Coturnix japonica: one gene and its partners. The protein of the gene in region 3 purifies or fractionates together with the protein of the main gene of each other region. This does not show direct contact. Links are inferred from orthologs where the notes say so. Each region holds a gene or a part of one and is shown on either strand. Other genes may lie near its edges. The genes, in order: AEBP2, PHF19, EZH1 and JARID2.

The links.
Region 1: the proteins of EZH1 (region 3) and AEBP2 purify together in Homo sapiens (affinity purification with mass spectrometry; 3 studies listed by BioGRID and IntAct, with this or other methods). This does not show direct contact. The link is inferred for Coturnix japonica from reciprocal best matches to the Homo sapiens genes EZH1 and AEBP2.
Region 2: the proteins of EZH1 (region 3) and PHF19 purify together in Homo sapiens (affinity purification with mass spectrometry; 4 studies listed by BioGRID and IntAct, counting the BioPlex papers as one, with this or other methods). This does not show direct contact. The link is inferred for Coturnix japonica from reciprocal best matches to the Homo sapiens genes EZH1 and PHF19.
Region 4: the proteins of EZH1 (region 3) and JARID2 purify together in Homo sapiens (affinity purification with mass spectrometry; 4 studies listed by BioGRID and IntAct, with this or other methods). This does not show direct contact. The link is inferred for Coturnix japonica from reciprocal best matches to the Homo sapiens genes EZH1 and JARID2.

What each region holds. Positions count from the first base shown.
Region 1 is NC_029516.1:59,185,313-59,190,235, reverse strand, and holds part of AEBP2 (zinc finger protein AEBP2), read right to left. Parts: intron 2,620-4,923; coding exon 2,512-2,619; intron 1-2,511. UniProt on the Homo sapiens protein: Acts as an accessory subunit for the core Polycomb repressive complex 2 (PRC2), which mediates histone H3K27 (H3K27me3) trimethylation on chromatin leading to transcriptional repression of the affected target gene.
Region 2 is NC_029532.1:6,765,795-6,771,508, forward strand, and holds the end of PHF19 (PHD finger protein 19), read right to left. Parts: intron 5,683-5,714; coding exon 5,614-5,682; intron 4,999-5,613; coding exon 4,878-4,998; intron 4,749-4,877; coding exon 4,681-4,748; intron 4,585-4,680; coding exon 4,272-4,584; intron 4,162-4,271; coding exon 4,076-4,161; intron 4,000-4,075; coding exon 3,904-3,999; intron 3,848-3,903; coding exon of another isoform or gene 3,818-3,847; coding exon 3,466-3,817; 3' UTR 1,924-3,465; downstream 1-1,923.
Region 3 is NC_029542.1:4,628,799-4,634,312, reverse strand, and holds the start of EZH1 (histone-lysine N-methyltransferase EZH1), read left to right. Parts: upstream 1-1,697; 5' UTR 1,698-1,978; coding exon 1,979-2,025; intron 2,026-2,578; coding exon 2,579-2,699; intron 2,700-2,827; coding exon 2,828-2,956; intron 2,957-3,149; coding exon 3,150-3,269; intron 3,270-3,799; coding exon 3,800-3,920; intron 3,921-4,433; coding exon 4,434-4,607; intron 4,608-4,952; coding exon 4,953-5,055; intron 5,056-5,305; coding exon 5,306-5,469; intron 5,470-5,514.
Region 4 is NC_029517.1:67,735,878-67,740,800, forward strand, and holds part of JARID2 (protein Jumonji), read right to left. Parts: intron 3,360-4,923; coding exon 2,342-3,359; intron 1-2,341.

The DNA of each region.
Region 1 (4,923 bases), on a different chromosome or scaffold from region 3:
AGAGATGAAGGAACAGTGCCCTGCCATATATTTATTAATCTCCTACCTTCATTAAACAATTATAGTTTTCTCATAACTTTACAAAAGTAAATTTCCTCTGCATTTTATCATCACCTCCATAGCTAACATCCTTTGCCTTTTTTTAAAACCACCCTGAGCAGTTCTTCAGACAACAGAACCAAGCTCTGTCATTTCTACTGCCTTCTAAGTAAACCCCTCACAAATTCTGGCATTTGTTTATGAACAAAAGAGTGAATGCCTTGGCATTTTTCAGAGTCCTCTAAACTGATGATTCCTTCCTATAAGCTAGAGCTCCAGTGTGAGCTTACAAAGCAATAGATTTTCTTTTTTTGTTCATTTTTTTTTTTTAATTTAGGTGTTTATTTTTTTAATTTAGATAATCAAGAACGAGGTCTTCAATACAACTCTAACTCGAAAAACTTTGGCTTCTGCTAGAAATGTGAGGAATTAAGTTTTATAAGAACAGCTAAAATGCAAAACCATTTTGGTTCTGAACTGATGTAAGACAAAGCAACAGCTGATCCTTCGTGTTATTTCTTAAGTGATTTTCTATCAGACAGATTTCAAAAGCTTGAAAAAGTAAGGAATCAAGTGAAGAAAGGAGTCTAGTTAACTAACAGGTTATCACAATCACATCACGTGGGCTCAGAGGACTACATTCATGGGGGAACAAAAGAATTTTACTAAGTTCACAACACAATTATCCTCCACCCAAAGCTCCCAGGAACAGATTGGAAAATATAAAGATAAAATACAAACAGAAACACTGAAGACAACGGTAGGGAAAAAAAACAAAAGGAAATGACACACTTTGAGCTACAACAATAAACTACTGCAAATCCAGCCTATGTTTTATTCTTTCCCCAAGGGTGGCCAGGGGAAACTAGCTGGGGAAATAATCCACACTTAACACAAGATGTTTATTATCAGAACCAACTGTTTGAAACTGCAGGGCTTTGAAGAGGTTAGCCAAAAAAAAAAACACCAAAAAAACCCAAAACCTGAGATATTAATTTTACTCACTTGGCTGGATAACACTCCTAAGACTCAAGAAGTACTCTTTTTCTTGAGGTATACTCTCCTCTTTTAAACTCAGTATCTCTACATTGAGTTTCTTTGATCTATAACAAGCAAGTACACAAACTAACCTACCAGAAGACTCATAAGACCAAAACCTGCCACTGCACTTTAAAGCACACCCCCAGTTCTAAAATGAGAAGAAAGAAGGTACAAGTTTCCCCCAGTTATTCATTTTCAAGTTTGATTCAAGGATTTGCAGTTATAATCAGATCAGTTACTGGAACAATCATATTTGAAAGCTTCTTTCAGAGATCTATGATCCTTACGCTAGCTTCCAACAGCATGCTAACTTAATTCCTTTGAACAAAGAATACAATAATCTCAAGAACAGAATTTACTCCCTGCCATTCATTCTGTATGAAATGTTCATACTAAACTAAGCAGTTTGGAAGGGAAATATATATATATATAATATTTCACCTGCACTGAACTATTTTCACCCTCTGGGTTTTGAGTATAGTTTTCTGTCATAGCTACTATAACAAGCTGTGCAGAAACAATAACTTCTGAGAGAGGTCACTGTAACGGGAAAGTACTTTTTTGTAATAAAACTGCCCTAAAATTTAAAAAAAGTAGACAACGTTACGCAAGACAGAAAACAGAAGCAGAGAAGCAGTGACTAAAACCTGATGGGCTGGGGCAAGGAAGGGGAAGGAAGGTATAAAATGCTACCTAGATGTAATAAAAAAGTACCCTCATTCATTTTTCAAACCCTAGATGGAAGAACTTCAATCTGAAGTAGCGTGGGTGAGACTTACCATCAAGTGATCCAGGACTGACAGCTATGAACTGCCCCAACTGTATCCATAAGAGGATGAAGCAACTCATTAATAACGGATTGGTGGATATGGGAATGATAAACATTACTATACCTAGAATTGCAGGTACAGATTAGGGGAAGAAAGAAAGAGAAAGTTAGAAAATACTACGCAGGTAATACAGTCAGCTCAATGGTCCTGCAATCCTGACTTCCTTATCATTCTCAGAGAAGTTAACCACACACAGACACTGACTGTTTCAAATGAATACTGTTAACAAAAACAGCTCATTCAAGAACAGAATGAGCACCATCAGGCACCAACCAAAGCGTGAAGCATGAGGCAAAGCATCTCGCTGTTACACCATAAACAGCTCAGCTTTGAAAAGCACAAGTAACTGAACACAAGCATTATTTTAGTTCAGATTACCCTACTGTTCACAGGTTTAAAAGAACAGGGACAGAGAAGCAGTATCTTCAATTGTGTTTCATAACAACAGAATCTTTGGGTAGTGTCAAAGACAAGTTTATCTCACTTGGTAAGTTTTAACAAATCCTCCTGTGACAGCATTTTTCAATTAATACATTATATAAGGAAAAATAAAGAGATTTCTCATAAAATAAAGGATAATATACCTTGCTATAAATCTTACCTTGAAAGGTTTGTCCCCACTGTGTGTCAGCATATGCCTCTGCAACCAACTTTGACTTGTTGAAGGTGTATTATATACTTTGCAACCTTTCCACAAGCAAACAAACACCTGATAAAGTAAAAATATGGTCAGTTTATACAAGTCAACGAAAACAGTAAGAAAAAATTAATTAGCAAAGAAGCATGCTAAAAGAATTTTGAATCAAGCATTTATTCTGCAACACGCTTCTCATCTCACCAAGGCCAAAACAACTGAAACCACAAGTAGTCAAAAATAAAACATAAAAAGCCAGGCAATCCTGCAGATAAATACAACCAAGAGCCACAGCTTGCACTTGCCCTGTGTATCAGTATCACCCAAGCACTGAGATGTAGAATTTTTATATGATGAAATTCACGTTTTCTGGATAGCAAAAATATAAAGGATAAAATGGTTTCATCTCATAAGGAAGAAATAACTGCCTTCTTAAAGAAAAGTTAAAGCCTTAATTAAAACACAGTTGTTTAAATATAAGTCTCATACTACAGAATACTGGATAACCCTAGTTAAGGTTTTAAGCTCACTTCCTGATGAATAAAGTTAAAATCTTCCATAGGATTCAAAATCTATGGGTGTTTAGCTATTTCCATGTACAGATTAGTCACACGCACAATAGTGCATTAAAGGGAGTAGAACTTACTCATGCTGCTTTTCTCTCTCCTCTCATTGTGTCTATCTATAACCTAGAGAATAAAAAAAGCTCAATGAACTTGGCTTTCATCAGAAATTCCTCAACAAGCCTGTGTGTGAAGGGAGGTACAGCCCTAATTTTTAGCAGCAGAATACAGTCCCCAGGACTAGCATTGTCCAAAATACTTTCAGAATACCTTTCAGAACTGCAAGCAGCTAATTGGATTTGAGTTTCTTGTTCTCTTTCAGAGATTAAAAAACTGAACCTTCAAAAGACTGTACTTCCAAAACAAAAGAATAGCCAGAGGAGTGCTATGTGCTTGCTATATAACATACAGACAGCCCAACTTACTAATGCAAAGCTGGAAAACCTTGTACGCCTATGTGACTGATCAAGGTCTACTGACATGAGGCCTAACTTTCTGATGCTTTGGTGTCTGCTGTTTCTCAGTTTTTAAAGTCTTCCTGTAGCCAATGAACTGGAATTTTCAGATTTCTGGTAACAAAACACTTCATTAATTGTCCCAGTATCTCCATCATCAACTGCAGAGCACTCAGAAAGGAACTAATATGAAACAACAGGTTGTTGAAACACAACCTCCTCAGAAAACGTGCACTAGGTTTTACAGCAACCCACAAGAAACCCCAGCAAGGCTTTTTGGGAACACATCTCTGAAGGCTGAATCCAAACTATTTCTAACAAAACATTTCAGGGAGGTAAAACTATTATTCCACTAGTATGAAATGAGTATCCTGGACATTCATGATTCTACATGGAGTAGAACTGCTATCTTAATATTAACTTAGAAAATACACATATTACCACCATAAATGCAACATGATAAGCATGCTTATAAGTTTCCAGTAAGCTTTTACTACTTCTTTCACGTTTATATTCATTGAGTTGATTAAGTTTTGAAATCCAATGAAAATCCCTAGAAGATGCACCACTTAACCGCCTCACCAGCAGATGGCGAACCAACCCTTGGAAGAAAACAGCCAGCATCATTCCCCTGCAGAGCGTCCAGTGGAGAAACTTTACAACAAATAAATCAACTCCACCAGGGGGAATAAAAGGAGTGTGAACTGAACACAATAATCAGGCACACAGCGTTACCTACAGCTGTCTCTTTCAGAAAGATGAATACAGTGACGTTTTCTAAGTAAAAATATCCACAAATCACACCAAACGTAAGCATGAAACATTTTTCAGGTTTTTCAATCTCTTTCTAAGGGGTCACGGGTGGGACAAAGGTCACCAAAGATGCATTTATATGAAATCCCACAGGATACTGATACATCTCATCCACTTAATTGTTTCATCCAGGATACACGTAACACGTTTATAAACCCACAAACAGAACTACAAAAGTCTGTCTCGTGGGTGACTAAGAAGCTGGCACATTGGTCAGATGATTCTGCCTGGAGTTTGGACTGAAAAAAGTCACTAAATATCAAGCTGGAAGTTCAGCCATAACAATTAACATGAACTAAATGCAGCCAATGAGTCACAATGACACAACTGGAGAAGTGCAGAGTTAATATCACACTACTTAGAGATTATTTAAAACCTTAAAATTGTGAGACCTACCAAAACCACACCACTTAACCAGATATTAAACTTAAATACATACTTCAGTTAAAAACAAAATAAACTAGGTGCAGTCACATTGAAGGTGTAAGACCTGCCACCAGTACTACAAACAGAACTGTTCTGCTAAGACTCATACTTCCAAGACAACC
Region 2 (5,714 bases), on a different chromosome or scaffold from region 3:
GTTAGGGTTAGGGTTCACCTCACCTTGCCCTGCTACCCTTAGCTCCCTCAGACCTTGCACAGCAAGAGTGGCCCTGGTCTTAGAGCTCCAAATGTTGGATCATGAGCATTTAGGACCAGTGATGCTTCTCCAGCACCACTTCATAGAGGAACAGCCACATGCAGGGAGCGCCAGGGAGATCAGCAAGGCTGTACCCATAGCTGGGTGTGCTGATGGTTCTTTCCTTTTAAATACAGGTATTTTTGGAAAGGGCAACTGGAAGAATCCACTGAAATCCTGCTGGTAAGTGACAGTTCCCCAAGTCACAGCAATTCCCATCCCAGAGCCCAAGCCAAATGGGGCTGCAGGGTGGCATTGAAACCGAGTACCCCCAGGCTCATGGCAGTGGTGCATGGGGGGTGCAGTGGAGCTGTGCCTTCAGGATTGTTCCTTCTCTTTACTCTTTTTTCTTTACTCTCTGCAGATAGTAAAAACAAGGACGTCCAAAATAAGTGAATTGTCCAACTATGTCAGGTGAGCACGGGGCTTTCTATCTGCAGTATGCAGCCATCTCATCCTCAGGCTTTGGGTCTCCTCGAGACCAGTCCCACCCAGGAGAGCTCTAAGGCACTGCTGGGTACACTCTGAGAGCCAGAAAAGCTCCAGCACAGCACCAGCTGGGAGCAGGCTGCTGGGAACATCGGGCTCCCTGCATGGGACAAGGAGGGCTTCAAGGGTCTGCAGGTCCCCCCCATCTGCAGATTTCCTGTCCACCCCACGCGCTGAGTGCTGAGCACAGCTGGTGGCTGTGGTAAACCTCAAACTCAAAGCAGAATTCCCACGTGGCACAAAGTGCTTTGAAGTCAGGGGGGATGGCCCGGGGCAGGGCCCACGCACCACGCTGCTTCCTGCACCGCCAGCCTGTTCCTGCTGTGGGATGTGGCCGTGGCACTGCGCCGCTGCGTCTGTTTCCACTTTAGATCCATCCATCCCTTTGAAATCCCTGAAGTCATCAGCCTGCCTATCGACCAAGGAAACCCCCTCTACCTCAAGTGGATCGGAGAAAACGTCCCACGGGATTGAATGAACAGCCCAGAAACCTCCCTGCTCTTGAGGAGACGCGATGAGACAAGTTCTGCTGGTGTCTGTGCACAGAGTGACACAGGGGAGCAGCTCACATCCCCAGGGGTGTGCTACAGCACAGGGCATAGAGATGGGGAATGTCATTTGCACTTGAGATGTCCCCTCCCTGGCTTGGCCCTGGAGGCAGCACTGCAATGGGGAAGGTCACCATGGGGCTGCTGCTGCCTGGAGGTGCTGGCAGCACTGCCCTGCAGCACCTGGGGATGGTGCAGCGGGTGCCACTCACACACATGGCACTGGCTGAACCTTAGCAAGCGCCCTGCCTGTCAGCTGGGCTGAGCTGGGCAAAGCAACCCCATTCAGGGACCCAGGAGCCAGCAGGGCAAAGCCTCGCTGCTTTCTCCCCAGACCAAGCTGAGCCTTAGAAAATGATGCTCGTGTTGTGTAATTGGATGCAAGTTATGAAATAAATCTATTGTGTGGCTGGGAAGGGAATAAACCAGAGCATTTCCTACCTGCAGCCTCATGAGTCATTGCAGTGCACGGTGCAGTGAGCAGGGCAGGAGGGTCCTGTCAGGGCTCTGTCGGTGTCCATCACAGGTGGTGGGGATGTGGTGCAGGCACTGAGCTGTGCCCAAAGGCTGGTGTGTCCCCAGCAGCAGTTAGAGGTAGTGCAAGGAGGGCTCCCAGGTGCAGGAAACAAGATAGCAGGGAAAATGGTCACTGGGCTGTACCCACGCACAGCTGTTTGCATCGTCCTGCCATCCCCGTGCTTAGCAGCATTTCTCTATAGCACCACCCAGGCATGGGGTGCTGCCCAGGGCCACGCACTGACCCCTCAGTGCCACAAAGAGGCAGTGATGTTAAAAAAAGAAGAAAAAAAGACTTTATAATTGTACATCAGACATATTAATTACAACTTGGATATAACAAGAGTCGGTTATTACAAGCAGCAGCCTGAAACCATAAATCTTTAGAAGGTGCATAGAGTCATTATAGTATCTATTATAACTAATGCAAAATATATTCTGAAACAAAAATACTTTTAAAGGCTCCATATTCAGTTCTCTGCAATAGGCCAGGAGGAGAGGAGAGGGAGAGGAGGAGGGAGCTGCCAAGCTGGGGTCACCCATGTTCTCCCAGCACATCCCATGGGGTTGGTCTGGGTGCAGCTCCTGGCAGTCCCCAGCCCCCCAGGCAGTAACTGGGATAGTCACCTGGGCTCCATAGGCACTCGTGATATGGAAATACATGGTGCTCCCCACCAGGCATGGTGGGGTCTTGGCAGCAACCTCTGCCAAAACACTGGGGCCTCTTGGAGGCAGCTCCATTCAGATGAATAGATGCAAACTGCGCCGTGGCTGCAGCTGAACAGAGCTCAGCACACAGCTCTGCACTGAGCACTGCACCAGTGGCACAGCATGAAGGCGTTGCAGGTCTTTGTATTGCTGTGCCCAGCACTCAGGGTGTTGCAGCTCAAACACATCAGCGGATCTTAGAAAGAACCTAATGATTACATCTGAGAGTAGAACTTAAAAGGTTGCTCCTGAACAAAGTGACTGTATTGCTTTAGACAACAAGGGGTTCTCATTCTCCTTCTATATAGAAAACACACGGTGAAGCAGCAGCATGCCCACAACAGGGACAACCCCATGGGCTGGGGGAGCACCCTGCTGCCTTTTTGGTTTCTTGGCTGGTTTGGCACTGCAGAATGGGCATCTCAAGGAATGAAGAGCAGTCCGGGTGGTGCCCGCTCTGGTTTAAGGCACGTGTGTGTGTTTAGCTGAGCCATGCCAAGAGGTGATTGTTTGGGATGGGGAATGCAGCACATCCAGGCCATGGGATGGGGTCTGAGCCATTTGTAGGGTGTCCTCCCCTCAGAGCAATTCATTCCTCAGATGAATGGGTATGGCATGAGAAGGGAAAGCCCATGGAAGGGCTGCGGCATCACCTGCCATTTCCTATGGTGTAGGGATGAGCCATTGAGCTCCATGGTGTGACAGCAGTGGTGCTTTAGCACTGGGTCCCTGTGAGACCACTGCTCCAACCCGGACATGGTGACTGCAGGCTGAGCCCACACGGAGCCCACGCAGCCCCCGTGCTGCAGAAGGGGCCTGAGCTGCCCCACTCCTCTGGTGCCTCCGGTGTGACTGAAGGCTGAAGCAGGACAGCGCTGCTCTTTACATATACGGGGCTGATAAAATAACAGTTGTCAAAGGAATACAATAAAAAGGCAGAGGGGATCTACCCCTCACAGCTCCAGGCAGCCAGGGTGCCAAACACGGGGCATCCTCCTCCTCCTCCTCTTCCTTCTCTTCCTCCTGTGCTGCACCAAGGCCTGGCTGCACCCAAGGGCTCAGCTGTCAGCTCCAGGAGAGGTGTTTGGACTGGAAGGATGGGTGCTCAGTAGGGGGTGGTCCCTTCCCACTCCACCAGGTACTGCACTTTGCCCTCCAGCGTCACACGCCGTGCCAGCACCTGGTACTTCTCCCCGCACACCAGCCGCCCCGCAGCCCCAAAGTAGCTGCTGATGGACGACTTGAGGTGTGAGAGCGACGAGTCGTCCTCGCTGATGCTCTCAAAGGTGTGGCTGTCGATGCCATCATCCGGACGCTCAGGCCCATACGTCACCTCGCTGCCCTGGGGGCTGCCCACTGCTGGCTGCCTGCTTGCAGCCCCACTGCCACGCTTGGGCCGTGCCAAGGGGGGGGTCAGGACTGTCTGCTTGCGCTTACGGCTGCCCACCGTCCTCCGGCTGCAGGACAGGGAGAGAGGCAATGGGGTGCTGTGAGGGAAGATAGAAGCTCCTCAGGAAGGGGGTGAAGGGGCTGCAGCCCTCACCTGGACTCGCAGGACAGGCTGGTGGTGGCTGAGCCCGAGGTGCTGACAGCATCCGTGGAGTCCACGTCAGAGAGGAAGGTCTGCCCCGAGCTGGCGCTGGGATGGAGGCAGCGTCGGCCCCGCGGCCCCGCACCTCAGAGCTCCCCCAGCACCACAGCTGGGCAGCACTCACCTCTTCAGGCTCTGAATCTCATCCAGTGTGAAGTCAAAGATGCTGGCCAGGTGGTGGTTGGTGCTCCAGGCGGAGGTAAAGTCGCTCTGCACCACAAAAGCCATCACCTCAACACCACAAAGTGGCTCAGAACCCCCTGCCCGGCCATCACAGCTCTCCCTCCCCCATGGCCATCCCAAAGCCCGCAGGGACTCACGCTGGGGATGGCGTCCTCCAGCAGGAACTTGGCCCTTTTCCGCCGCACCGCACGCCGCTTCTGCTGCTGGAGCTGCCCTGGGAGCAGGCTGTAAGCAGAGATAAAAGGCAAGACATAGGGCTGGGGCTGCATAACAGTGCTGGGCAGCTCCCACCTGTCTTTATGTCTGCTCTTCCCTCTCCTCTTCTGCTCACAGGAGCCGCTCTCACCCGGTGCCTTCTCTGGCAGCACTTTGCTGGGGGGGTTTGGTGGGACGCGGATCCGCAGGCGGAAGATGCATTTCTTCTTCTTGATCTCCTTTCCACAGAGAAACCTGGGGATGCAGGAGCCTTCAGCCTGGGGGGGAGGAATGGACCCCAGGAGGGCAGGAGCACTCCATGCACTGTTCCATTCTCAGCCCAGCACTCACCTGCTCTTGTAGCTGTTGAGGGCATTGAGTAGGTGGGGGCCGCGCTCAGACACAGGGGTACCTGTCAGCTGTGGGGAGACACGAGCCTGAGCTCCTCAGGGCAGGATGGCCACCCCAGCCCCTTCTGGCCCCCTGCCCCCTGCGTCCCTGTGCCCCTGAGGCTCTGACCCTTCACACTCAACACCCACAGGCGTTACCTTCCCGAGCTGCAGAGGGTCCCAGTGGTGGTTGACGAAGGCCAAGATCTCCTCGAAGTCAAAGTACTTCTTCTTGCTCTGCACACCCAGGTTGTACAGGGCGAGATGGACCACGTCTACCCTGCAGGAGTGACCAAGGCCAGCAGGTCAGAGAGCAGTGAGCAGTGAGCAGCTCACTGCCAGCAATGCTGGCCCAGGGCACAATGACAGCAGCTCCGTGTCTTGGGACCCCACATCAGCCCCAAGGTGAGGAGTCCAAGGATGCACCAGTCCCAGGACAGACACTCAGTGTTGCAGCTTTCTTCCAAGCTCCAGCCATGCGCTCTCAGTGCACTCCAGTACAGGAGCAGGATGGCTCTTACTCACACATGGGCTGTTTACAAAACATTCTCTCCTGTGGGACTTCACACTTACATCTCCATAAGTGAAAGCCAAGCAGCACATCCTTCAGGATCTCCCTTCTGCACCCAGTGCTTCTCTATGCAACGCCCCCAGTGCAGCTAGCAGTGTTAAGATATTTTACATAGTGCTTTCAGATCATCAAGGTACACTATGGAGTATCATAGAAACTTATATTTAATCTTAAAACTCGATGGCTCGTTCCCAAATTGCTTTTTGCAGTTATCTCCTGGTGAAAGCATGCTTTGGCTCCCTGACAGCACAGCACAGCACACTGGTGCCCCACAAACCCAATGGGGACCCGGCACAGCACAACGGGGCCACGTCAGTTTCTCACCATCGCAGGGGCAGGCGCTTGATGTACTCAGGTCCCTGGTTGCACACGGAGCAGAAAAACACATAGAACCTGGAAAAGAGTGGGGATGGAGAGCATGAGGG
Region 3 (5,514 bases):
ACGTCCCCGGAGGGTTCTGCTGGAGGCTCGGGGTCGTTACGGCCCCAGCCCCGTGTTCATGGCGCCGTGTGGCACCTGCCCCGGGGGCACGGGTGGGGCTGGAAGGGACGGCGGCGGTACCACGGGTGTGCGAGCCTCAAGCAGGCAGGAGGAGAGGATGGGGCGAGGGACTGTGGCTGCAGAGCTCCTCTTCATCCCGTGCCACCTCGGCTCCCACCTCAGGGCAGCGCGGTGCTGGCTCTGCAGGGTCCCCACCCGGGGATGGAGCTCAGGCCACGCGAGCTCATCTAACTGCTTGCCAAAGGCTGAGCTCCAGCCCAAAGCTTTCCCTTTAAAATCCACTCATGGGACTCACAGAGCACAAATCACACAGCAGAGAATTGCAGTTCATGGGGACCCTCCCTGCTTTGGAAGGATTCTATTGCTGTGCTGCACATTCCTGCTGCAACACACTGCACGTGCTATGTGCAGGCTGAGGCAGCCGCCACCCTCCTGGCACTTGGGAGCCCTTCAGCGGTACCGGGAGCCCACGAGGCTGCGGCACAAAGTCACAGCCCCATTCTGCACTTTGTTGTCACAGCCCTGGAGCTGCAGCCGGCAGCAGGAGCCTCTGCCAGGGTGACACCCGGTGATCTCAGCCGGCCACTCCTTGCACAGCCGGGGCAGTCTGCCAGCACCCACTGCTCCCCAGCCCCATTTTGCAAGCTCCCCCCAGCCCTTGGCTGCAGTGCTGTGAGGGGGACTCGACTGAGCAGCGGGGGAAGCATTTCCCATGTTCTGGGCTGGGCTGCAGCCGTCCCGAGCCCTGCTGCCAGCCTCGGCCCATGGCACAACGGGCACAGACGCAGCCTGGACCCCGCCTGCTGCTTTGACTCGCTCTGCAGCTGCCCACGTTGCGCTCTGGGGCTCAGCGCAGTGTGGGCAGTGAGGCTGCGGGGGTTGCGCTGGGTCCAACCCAGACCCCAGGTTCTGCCGGTAGTGGGAGCAGGAGCCGCAGCCCCGACGAGCATCTTCCCACCGGCTGCAGCTTCCCCCCGTGCCGGGGCGTATCACCGAGCTCATCTCGGCACCTTCCACCCGCGCTCAACCCAATGTCAGGGAAGGCGGAAGGTTCTGCCCGACTCAGCAGGACGGGCTCAAAGGCAGCAGATACGGCCAGGACCGGGGCTGAGCTGTGGGATGAGCAGCCAACGGCCCCGCTCACTGCCCGGACAGGGACCCGCGGGTTCCCCCCGCTCCTTCCGGCTGGGCGGAGGGGAAGGAAGGAAGGAAGGAAGGAAGGAAGGAAGGAAGGAAGGAAGGGGCCCGGCCGGGAGCGCGGCTGGGGAAGGGAGCGCCCGGCCGCAGCCCCGAGCAGAGCGGGGCCGGGCGGAGCCGAGTGGAGCCGGGCGGGGCCGGGCCGCGAGCGGCCGGTTCCGGTGCGGGGCGCCGCCCTTCCCGGTCGGAGCCGCAGCTCCGGGGCTGCACCGCGCGGGGCGGGGCGGCGGCGAGGGGCGGGGCTACGGCGGCGCATGCGCAGTGCGCGGGGAGCGCGGCCTCCCCCGGCGCGATGGCCGAGGAGTGAGTGCGGGGCGGGGCGGGGCCTGGGGTCCGGCGGGGGGCGGGGGGCGGCCCGGCACGGCGGGAGGGGCCCGGGAGGGAGCGAGGGGTCGGCGGGGGTGGGGGATGGAGCGGGGCGGTAGTGCCGTGGTAGTGCCGTGGTAGTGCCGTGGTAGTGCCGTGCCCTGTGGGGGCTGGCGGCTGCTCGTAGGGGGCAGATCTAAGTCCCCTGAGGCCCCGTGGGGCCCCGTGGGACCGTGGGCTGTTGTATGGGGTGCGCCGGGCCCGATGGACGGGGCAGCGCCCGGGGGTTGGGTGAGGCCTGGGAGCGGGCACCGGGCGGGGCAGCGGCTGAGGCCTGTCCCGGACACTCCGCAGTGTCACCGTCCCGGCAGCCACCGGGGGTCCCCGTGTCCCCTCGTGGCTGGAGGCTGCGGTGATGGGGGCCCAGGGAACCCCCGTGGGTGGAGTGGAGCGGCCCGCTGGGTACGTACAGCCCGGGCCGGGGACTCAGACTCCTGGATGGGAGCTGAAGCGTCCCTTGGGCTCACAGGGCGATGCCCGATGCCCAAACCCCCGGCTCCAACTTCTCCATCAGGTCGCACTGTGTATTCCCAGCCAGGAGCTGTCCTGTGCTGACAGCCTGCGCAATGTCCTTCCCAGCCTCCTGGCAATGAGATATTCTGAGCTGGATGTAACACTGCTCCTGACATGTTGGCCTCCCAGCGCCCTGTGAATCGAAAGATTACAAGCAGGAAGGAGAGCTGCTTGGACAGCGACAAGACAAGGGGGACTGTCCATAAGCTATAGAGGGCAGGCTTAAGTCAGATGTGAGGAAGCAATTCACTCCTCAGAGGTGGTGAGGTCCTGGCACTACTGCCCAGAGAGCTGTAGGTGCCCAAGGCCAGGCTGGGTGGGGCCCTTGAGCAGCCTGAGCTGGTGGGGGCACCCAGCTCATGGCAGGGGATGAGGCTGGAGGGGCTTTAAGGTCACTTCTAACTCATCGTTCTGTGAGTTTATTCTTACTGTATTTTCATAGAAAAATGGAAATCGCCACTCCTCCAACATCAAAGTGTATTATGTATTGGAAAAGAAAAGTCAAGTCTGAATATATGCGTCTCCGGCAGCTCAAGAGATTTCAGGCAAACATGGGAGCAAAGGTAAAGACACAGTGGCTCTGGTTGGAATGATCTCTGCTATAGACTTCAGTTTGCAGTATTGGAGCTTTTATCAGATGAGTGATGCATGATGAGAACTGTGAAGTGAGTGCTTCTTTCTCTCATTTCAGGCTCTATTTGTGGCCAACTTTGCAAAGGTTCATGAAAAGACTCAAATACTTAATGAAGACTGGAAGAAGCTTCGAGTTCAACCAGTGCAGTTAATGAAGCCAGTCAGCGGGCACCCCTTCCTAAAACAGGTAGGGAGAGCTGTGTTAGTATCAGTCTGTGCCTAGCACTCTTTCATGGTGCAGGGTAAAAACAGCTTTTACTGTCAAACACGGTGAGTGAACGCAGCCTTTGCTATGTTTGCCCTGAAGTGCTGTTTCTTTCTGTGATGGTGACAATCTCCCAGAGGCTGCTTCCTCACCGTCCTTCTCACTTCTACCCTAGTGTACAGTTGAGAGCATTTTTCCAGGATTTCCAAGCCAGACACTGTACATGAGGACGCTGAACACAGTGGCGCTGGTGCCTATCATGTACTCGTGGTCCCCCCTTCAGCAGAACTTCATGGTAGGTGGGAATACTCTCTGGTGCAAGGTCTTTGTGAGATTATTGTGTAACCGCAATGTCTGCTCAGGAAGACATGGTAGAAAGTTGTGTTGTGTGCTTTCCCTCCAAGCATGCAACACAACTTTCCCTTTTGCTCCCTGCTAAAACACTCCTCAGCTTCAGATGTATTCCTTCTAGAATGAATTGTCGTTTTGCCTCCTTCACTGTTCCAGTTTTACTCTCTTAATCACTACAACTTTGACATTTTTGGCTCTTCATTGTTCTTGGCAGTGTGTGTGTTTCTGTAACCTTTGGATACTGTTCTCTTCTTTTTAACATCAAATGCATTTTTTGAGGTTAGAGTTATTCTGATAGAATGGGATAGCAATGAAATGGCAGTGGTGAGACACATGAAATTTGAGCTGGGGAGGCTGAACATTTGCTTTATGCAGTGTTTTCTGCATGCAGTGGACGGGAGCAGCCTTAGAGACACAGCTTGGCTGGGAATTAGAAAGCGCTAGTTTACTGAATTGTATCTAATTGCTTTTCAGGTGGAGGATGAAACTGTTCTGTGCAACATCCCTTACATGGGAGATGAGGTGAAGGAAGAGGATGAAACCTTCATTGAAGAGCTTATTAATAACTATGATGGGAAAGTTCATGGAGAGGAAGGTAATTTGGGAGCAGAAACACTTAGCAGTTCAGTTTCTTGCAAGTAAGATATCAAAGTAGTTAAGAAATCACAAGATGGTAGCAGTAACCATCTTTTATCTGAGAGCACTAAGAGCAGAAAAGCAGAAATGCGTGCCTGCAGTTCTGGTTTATAAGGATGCACTCTTGGCTTTTGATCCCCCACTCTGTTCTAGACTCAGGATTAGGTGGAGTTCAGCACCGTCATTTCACTTGTGACCCTAGCCATGACTTGAAGCTTTTCAGAGACAAAAAGTCTGCATGCTTTCCTAGCTCATCATAAAACTGTGTAGAGGGTGGAGTGCAGCAAAAAATTCTGTTGTATGGGCTATCTTCAGGTCTCCAAAAGTGTTACAGCACTCTTAGGGCTCCAGAGCATTAAAACTCTACCCGTCCCTACAAAATCACCAGGAAAGTTTTTGTTTATAACTGTGTTGTGTGGCTGAAGAACATCAGTGGCCCTCCTACAGACTGACTGACATCACTGTATTTCAGAAATGATTTCAGGGTCAGTCCTCATCAGTGATGCTGTCTTCCTGGAGCTCGTGAATGCCCTGAATCAGTACTCAGATGAGGAAGAGGAAGGACACAATGATTCTGAAGTCAAACAGGAGGATGGGAAAGAGGAGCTGCCAGTCACAAGAAAAAGAAAACGAATTGCAGCGGAAGGTGGGTTTGGCTACAGAAATTAGTCGTGTGTTGGTCGTGTTTGCATCCTACTTTGCCTGAGGGAACACCAGAACTTCTTGCAGATGTAGAAAACTAATGTATGTAAATCCTGTCCAGGTAAAAATAAATGGTGATATTCCTTAAGAAATCAATATATTATCTACTCTGAAAGCAGTGGAGTACCATGTGGAAGTGCTTTAGCCTGCTTTCAAGACAATAGGTTATGTGTAATTGCATTTCTGTCTCTTAACCTGCAATCCAGAGCACCTGGAATCACTCTCAGGAAAAAGGCAAGTTCTATTCATGTGCAGCGTAACTGAGGAGTCATCTCTTTTTTTTCCGTAGGTAACAAGAAGTGTTCCAAGAAACGGTTTCCAAATGACATGATATTCACTGCCATTTCTTCTATGTTTCCTGAATATGGCTTCCCAGATGACATGAAAGAGAGGTAGATCTCTCCTTAAGTTGTTTGTTACTTTTGATAGGGGCAGTTAAAACGTGCATTTCAGAAAACAGCGCTGCGCATGTAGAGCTCACTTGGCTTCAGACACTCTGGGAAGGTCAATTTTTGAGTATTACAAACTTTGTTTTAGCTTAAAGATATCCAAACCAGAGTCATAAGATCTGTAGTCACGTGAAGTCCTGTTAAATGTCCCAAATTAGGAAAGCATACACATCTGTGGGTGTTTGTTGAATAGGTACCGAGAGCTCACAGAGGTGTCGGATCCGAACGTGCTGCCCCCGCAGTGCACTCCCAATATTGACGGGCCATGTGCAAAGTCAGTGCAGCGGGAGCAGTCCCTGCACTCCTTCCACACGCTCTTCTGCCGGCGCTGCTTCAAATACGACTGTTTTCTGCATCGTAAGTGCAGGCTCACTGGGTACTTTCCTTTTCTCTGTGTTATTG
Region 4 (4,923 bases), on a different chromosome or scaffold from region 3:
TTCTGTGGGGCAACAAATTGTGCACACCGAGTTTAAGGACCTAGTTTCAACCCTATTTATGGTGTATTTAAGAATAGCAATATTCTCCAGCATAATGGAATGATAGCTCATAATCACTCTGCAATATAAGAGCGTAAGTATCACATCATTCAATCAAATCCCATATATCCAGCAGATGCTCCACAGGGCCAGCTACAGCTCAGGTTTACAAAATGGTCTCAATTATAATTCCATTTACGCAGTCAGAGCTTTTGGAAGCATTTATATCTCATGCTGATGTTTTCCAGGACTGGCCTTAGTACGTTGCTTAAACTTTCCTTGGAAGGTCGAAGAGGGAAAAGATAAACCAAAATAAAATAATTCATTAAGCTCATTTCTAAAGTGCCTATAGCAAAGTGGCTAAAATACAAGACCTGGCACATGTTACAGAAAAAGAGTCTACAAAAAAAAAAAAAAAAAAAAAAAAAGAGTCTCAATTTCACTACATTAGGAATATTTCTAAATGAGCAAGCCCTTTAAAAAAAAAAATTAAAAAAAATCTTAAATCTTTAGGTATGCATTTAATACCAAGCCAAGTTATTGGCTAAACTTGCATTTGCTTCGATGGAAATGTGATTTGGCCCCAAAAGGGGGGAGTGTGTATGAATGTCTACTTATATAAGCACCCACTTATCATCATGGATGATTTTATATCTTTCCTGCCAGAGCCAACAGTTTTCTAATCTTTGCACAGTGATGATCTCCAGCCTCTTTACTCCATTTTGTTTTCAATTTTAAATCAAGATAGGTTACAAAATTACTGCAGAAAGGATATACAGGATGCAAATCTTATAAGAGATCGCTGTTTGCTCCAGTTATATAGCACCCAGCAGAATAGAAACCTTGCCTATTAATTAGGCTCTTAGGTACTTAAATAATAAAAATAATTAACAGTAATGCTATCTTAATGCCGAGTTAAGGTATTTCATTAAAAAGTTACCATTGTTCCAGGAGTGTTAATCGAGCTGTCTTGCACATTTTCTTCTCACTCTCGCCAATGTAAATTTAATTCATTACTCGTCTCTATTAGCATATAACCATTGCATACATTAAGCATACAAAATGTTCACTTATTGCTGCTTGAGTGATTTTAATTTTCAGATTTCCTTGAACGTTTTTGCGTGGCTGCTGCAACAGAGCACTAACCCTCACTCCTCCTCCTCCGACACCATCATTCCCTCTTGTGCCCTTCATTGGTTCACCGTGAACCTCATCATCTCTCCGTGTGCTTTTATGCATGTGCACCCACTTACCATACGTAAAAACAAAGTCTTAAAATATGGGGGTGGGTGGAAGGGAGAGGGGAGGGAAGCATTGTGAACAGTTTAAACAGAAAAGTGTGTCCTTTAATCCAACTAGTGTTCATAGCTGCCTCTGATGGGATAATGCCTCAAAGGCAAAACTCTAGCCTCAAGTTGCAACACGCAGATCCTGTGTGCTCTGACTCAAAACACTTCAAAAACAAAGGAGAAGGTTAACACAAATTGGAAACAAAACTTTGTTATTATGTCATGGCTGCAAAGGCAGCTGAGATGGAGGTGAATCATTCAACAGTTCATTTGTATGCTGCTGTTGTCATGTTTTTACAAACTATTGTCACATTTTTGTCACGTGTCATATTTGACAGCAGACCATAAACCAAGAATTCTATTAAATAAGTGATTCTTACTCAGGCATTAGCCTTGGCAGACACCTGCTGCGAGAAATAATGAAACCTCCATTTTGCAATCAACCACATTTTACTGCCTATTCTTGACACTTAATGGTTGTTAAATGTCAGCAGGTCACTGCAAATTTGTGATTTGAAGTGTCTGAGTACCCCAATAGAAATCAGTTTCAAGATATTTTTTCCCCTTGGTTAAATGCTTTTATAGAAAGGGGGGAAAATATTTGTATTCTAGCTTGGCAGCATTGTAACCTGTTTGGAATACGTCTTTGGTACTGTCCAAGAATATTCCAAAATAACATTTAAACGAAGACTATTAATACCCACAGCTGTACTACTTAATAAAATAAACAGTAGGGGCGAAGATCCTGAAATTTGAAGACCAGGATGCTGTAACAGCATTTTTCCCTGGGCAAAACAGAGCTGGAAGGAGGAAGGTGGCAATGCAAAGCCTCTGAGCAAAGCTCTCCCACGACCTACCTGCACCACATCTGACTGGTGGACAAAGAGAGAGAGCCAGGCTCTGCAGTGTTAATTGAACAGAGGTTTGGTTAAGCATACAGGCAAACGGAGCATAAACTAGCACACAGACTCTAACAAGCAGCAGCAAAAGGCCAAGGAAACCACAGCCCTTACCTATGAGTGGGAGTTCGTCCATGGTAATGCCCTGAGATTTGAGGTGCTTCTTGATACAGGCCAGCCGCTGCACGTTGGGTCCCCAGCGCCTGCCTAGCTTGTGTATGTGCTGAATCTGTGTCACAAACCGCATTTCATCGTTTAGCTTGCACTCAGGTCTCCAGTCTGGAGGAGGAATCACCCTGCACATCCCATACTTCTCTACCTGAGCTCGGACTGACTCAATGTATATCAGTGGGTCATGAAATTCCTTGGTGGAGGGCCTAAGGATGGGAATCTCCCCCAGCATCCCCCACCCAGACTTACTACTGCCCTTTTCGTGCTTTCCCATTGAGTCTTGTGGCTTGTGCAAGGACTCCGCTTGAGAGGTAGAACGATTTTCACAGGAGGCATTTTCAGTTTTGCCATGTGCTTGTTTCCCTGGCGTACTCTTTCCAGCAGTGGCTCTTTTCGGCCTATTTCTTTCCAAATTCTTCTCTGGCACTTCCTTTTTAAGGTGTCCATTCAGCAAAGGCTTTTCGACAACTGCCTTTTTGCTCGCAGCTTCTGCCAAGTTGACTGCCCCTTTCATTCTCTTGGTGGGCGACTGTATTTTGTCTATGTAATTAGTCTCTTCCAGCCTCCTCTTCGAATTGCGCAGCCCCTCCCTTAACTGTCTCCCCACCTCCTTAGTGCATGTCTTTTGGTTCAACTTGCCATTGACTTTTACACCATTAACAGCGGTATTGTTAGACTTGGATGCTCCAAGGGATAGCACCTGTTTGCGGGTTTTTGCATTGCTACTTTCTAGTTTCCCTGAGATTGTGTGGTTGACAGGTGAACTGGGTTTGTGGTGATTTAGTTTGGTTTCCTTGACCAGTTCTTTCTTGGCTTTGGTGTATGTGACAGTTCCCTTTGTCACCGTTGCAGTATACTTCACAGTTTTGGACGGTGAAGGTCTGACGTCTCTCATCTTTTTGGCACTGGCTGCATTTGCACTCGGAGATGACATTCGAGTGACTCCGTTGACTTTAGAAACCTACAAAGCCAGGAGCATCGCAGGGGGAGCAGAAGGAAGGAAACATAAAACAGAAAAATAAATTAATGAGGTTGCCAGTCCGCCACAGTTTCCCACTTACTGGACAACCATATTCTGCAGTCCTGACTCCTGGCCCTTTTGTACAATCTTCCTATAATAATTTTCACCCAGGCAGGAGGAAAGACTGGGTGTTCTGAATATGAAATACACATTATTATTATTATTATTCTACAATGAACCAAGATGTCCCCAGAAAGGTGATCTTGCTTTTGGAGGGTATGAAGCCTCTGGTACTAAGAAGGGTGAGGTCACTTGCTAGCAATACCCTCTTCTTTCCCTACCAAAAAACAAGTTACACTATCTACAAACTAATACTGTTATTATCTCCTTTTCCAGACCTCAAAGGCTATTCCCTCACCCACCCAACTTCCTTTAAGGGCACACATAGTTTCCTATGTAGTAAACAGACTAACCAGTGTGTAACATCTACTCTAACCTGCATGTTTTGCAAAAACCACACACTTAGATTCACACAAACCTCCTCTCTATGCACACATACCTACATATAGAAATAAATATTGAACACATTATGTACCCAACAGATCAGGACAGCCATGAGGGATCCAGTCTGTCTTATACATTAAAGCCAGGGAGGTGTCTTGTTGCTTTAGTTATTAACATGAAATAAAAATGCATACGGGAGTTCAGTGCATTTTTTAAAAGGTGGTTTTGTGTATTTGTTTATGAAGTTTGATATCTGGGCAGTTTTACTGACTCATCATTACTCACTAATGTGCCACTGCAATTTACAAGAACTGGACTCCATTTCTTTCTGTTAGGCACTTTAATCCAATTACAAAACTAAAATTAGTATTTTAATTATAAGACATGTTAAACACTGAGAGCCACCCTTTCAGAAAGCAGCCTTCAGCTTCAAAGGGAATTGTGACAGCTCAGCACTGTCAAAGCAAGCCCCACTGCTAAGAAAATGAAAGTTCAAGATTAAACCTTTAGAAAGTTAAACCATTTAAACAAGTTTGAACACTTTCTCTGACCTCCTTAAACTACCATAAGCAAGGAAAAATACACTCAAAAACCAAAGGAACACTGATAAATGTGCATACAATACGACAATCGCCCCTTATTGGCACTCAGGTAAGGAGCACCATTTCTACAAAGCTACAGTACTTTCCTGTGGGATTTCAAAATGCTTGTCAAATCAGTAAGCATGGTACCTTCAAATAAAGAATTCAAGAAATTGAATCACTTTATAAAATAGGGATGTTATAAAATAGGGATAAAATGACTGACTGAAAAGAGCACACTACAGTCTCCCATTAAGTGTGTATTTACCATTTTCCCTTGAAATTTAGGCAGCAGAATTTGAAATGTAGGCCAGGTTTGACTTTTACAGAGCCTTCTTACAGTGTAGAACAGACACAGGTAGAGATCTGCTGAGACACTGCCTCCGGCCTGCAGCTGTCAGCACAAGAACTCTGGCTTTATAAACAGCCAGGAACATTGATTACAGATTTGATCCAGACTAATTGAGAAGAATTGATTA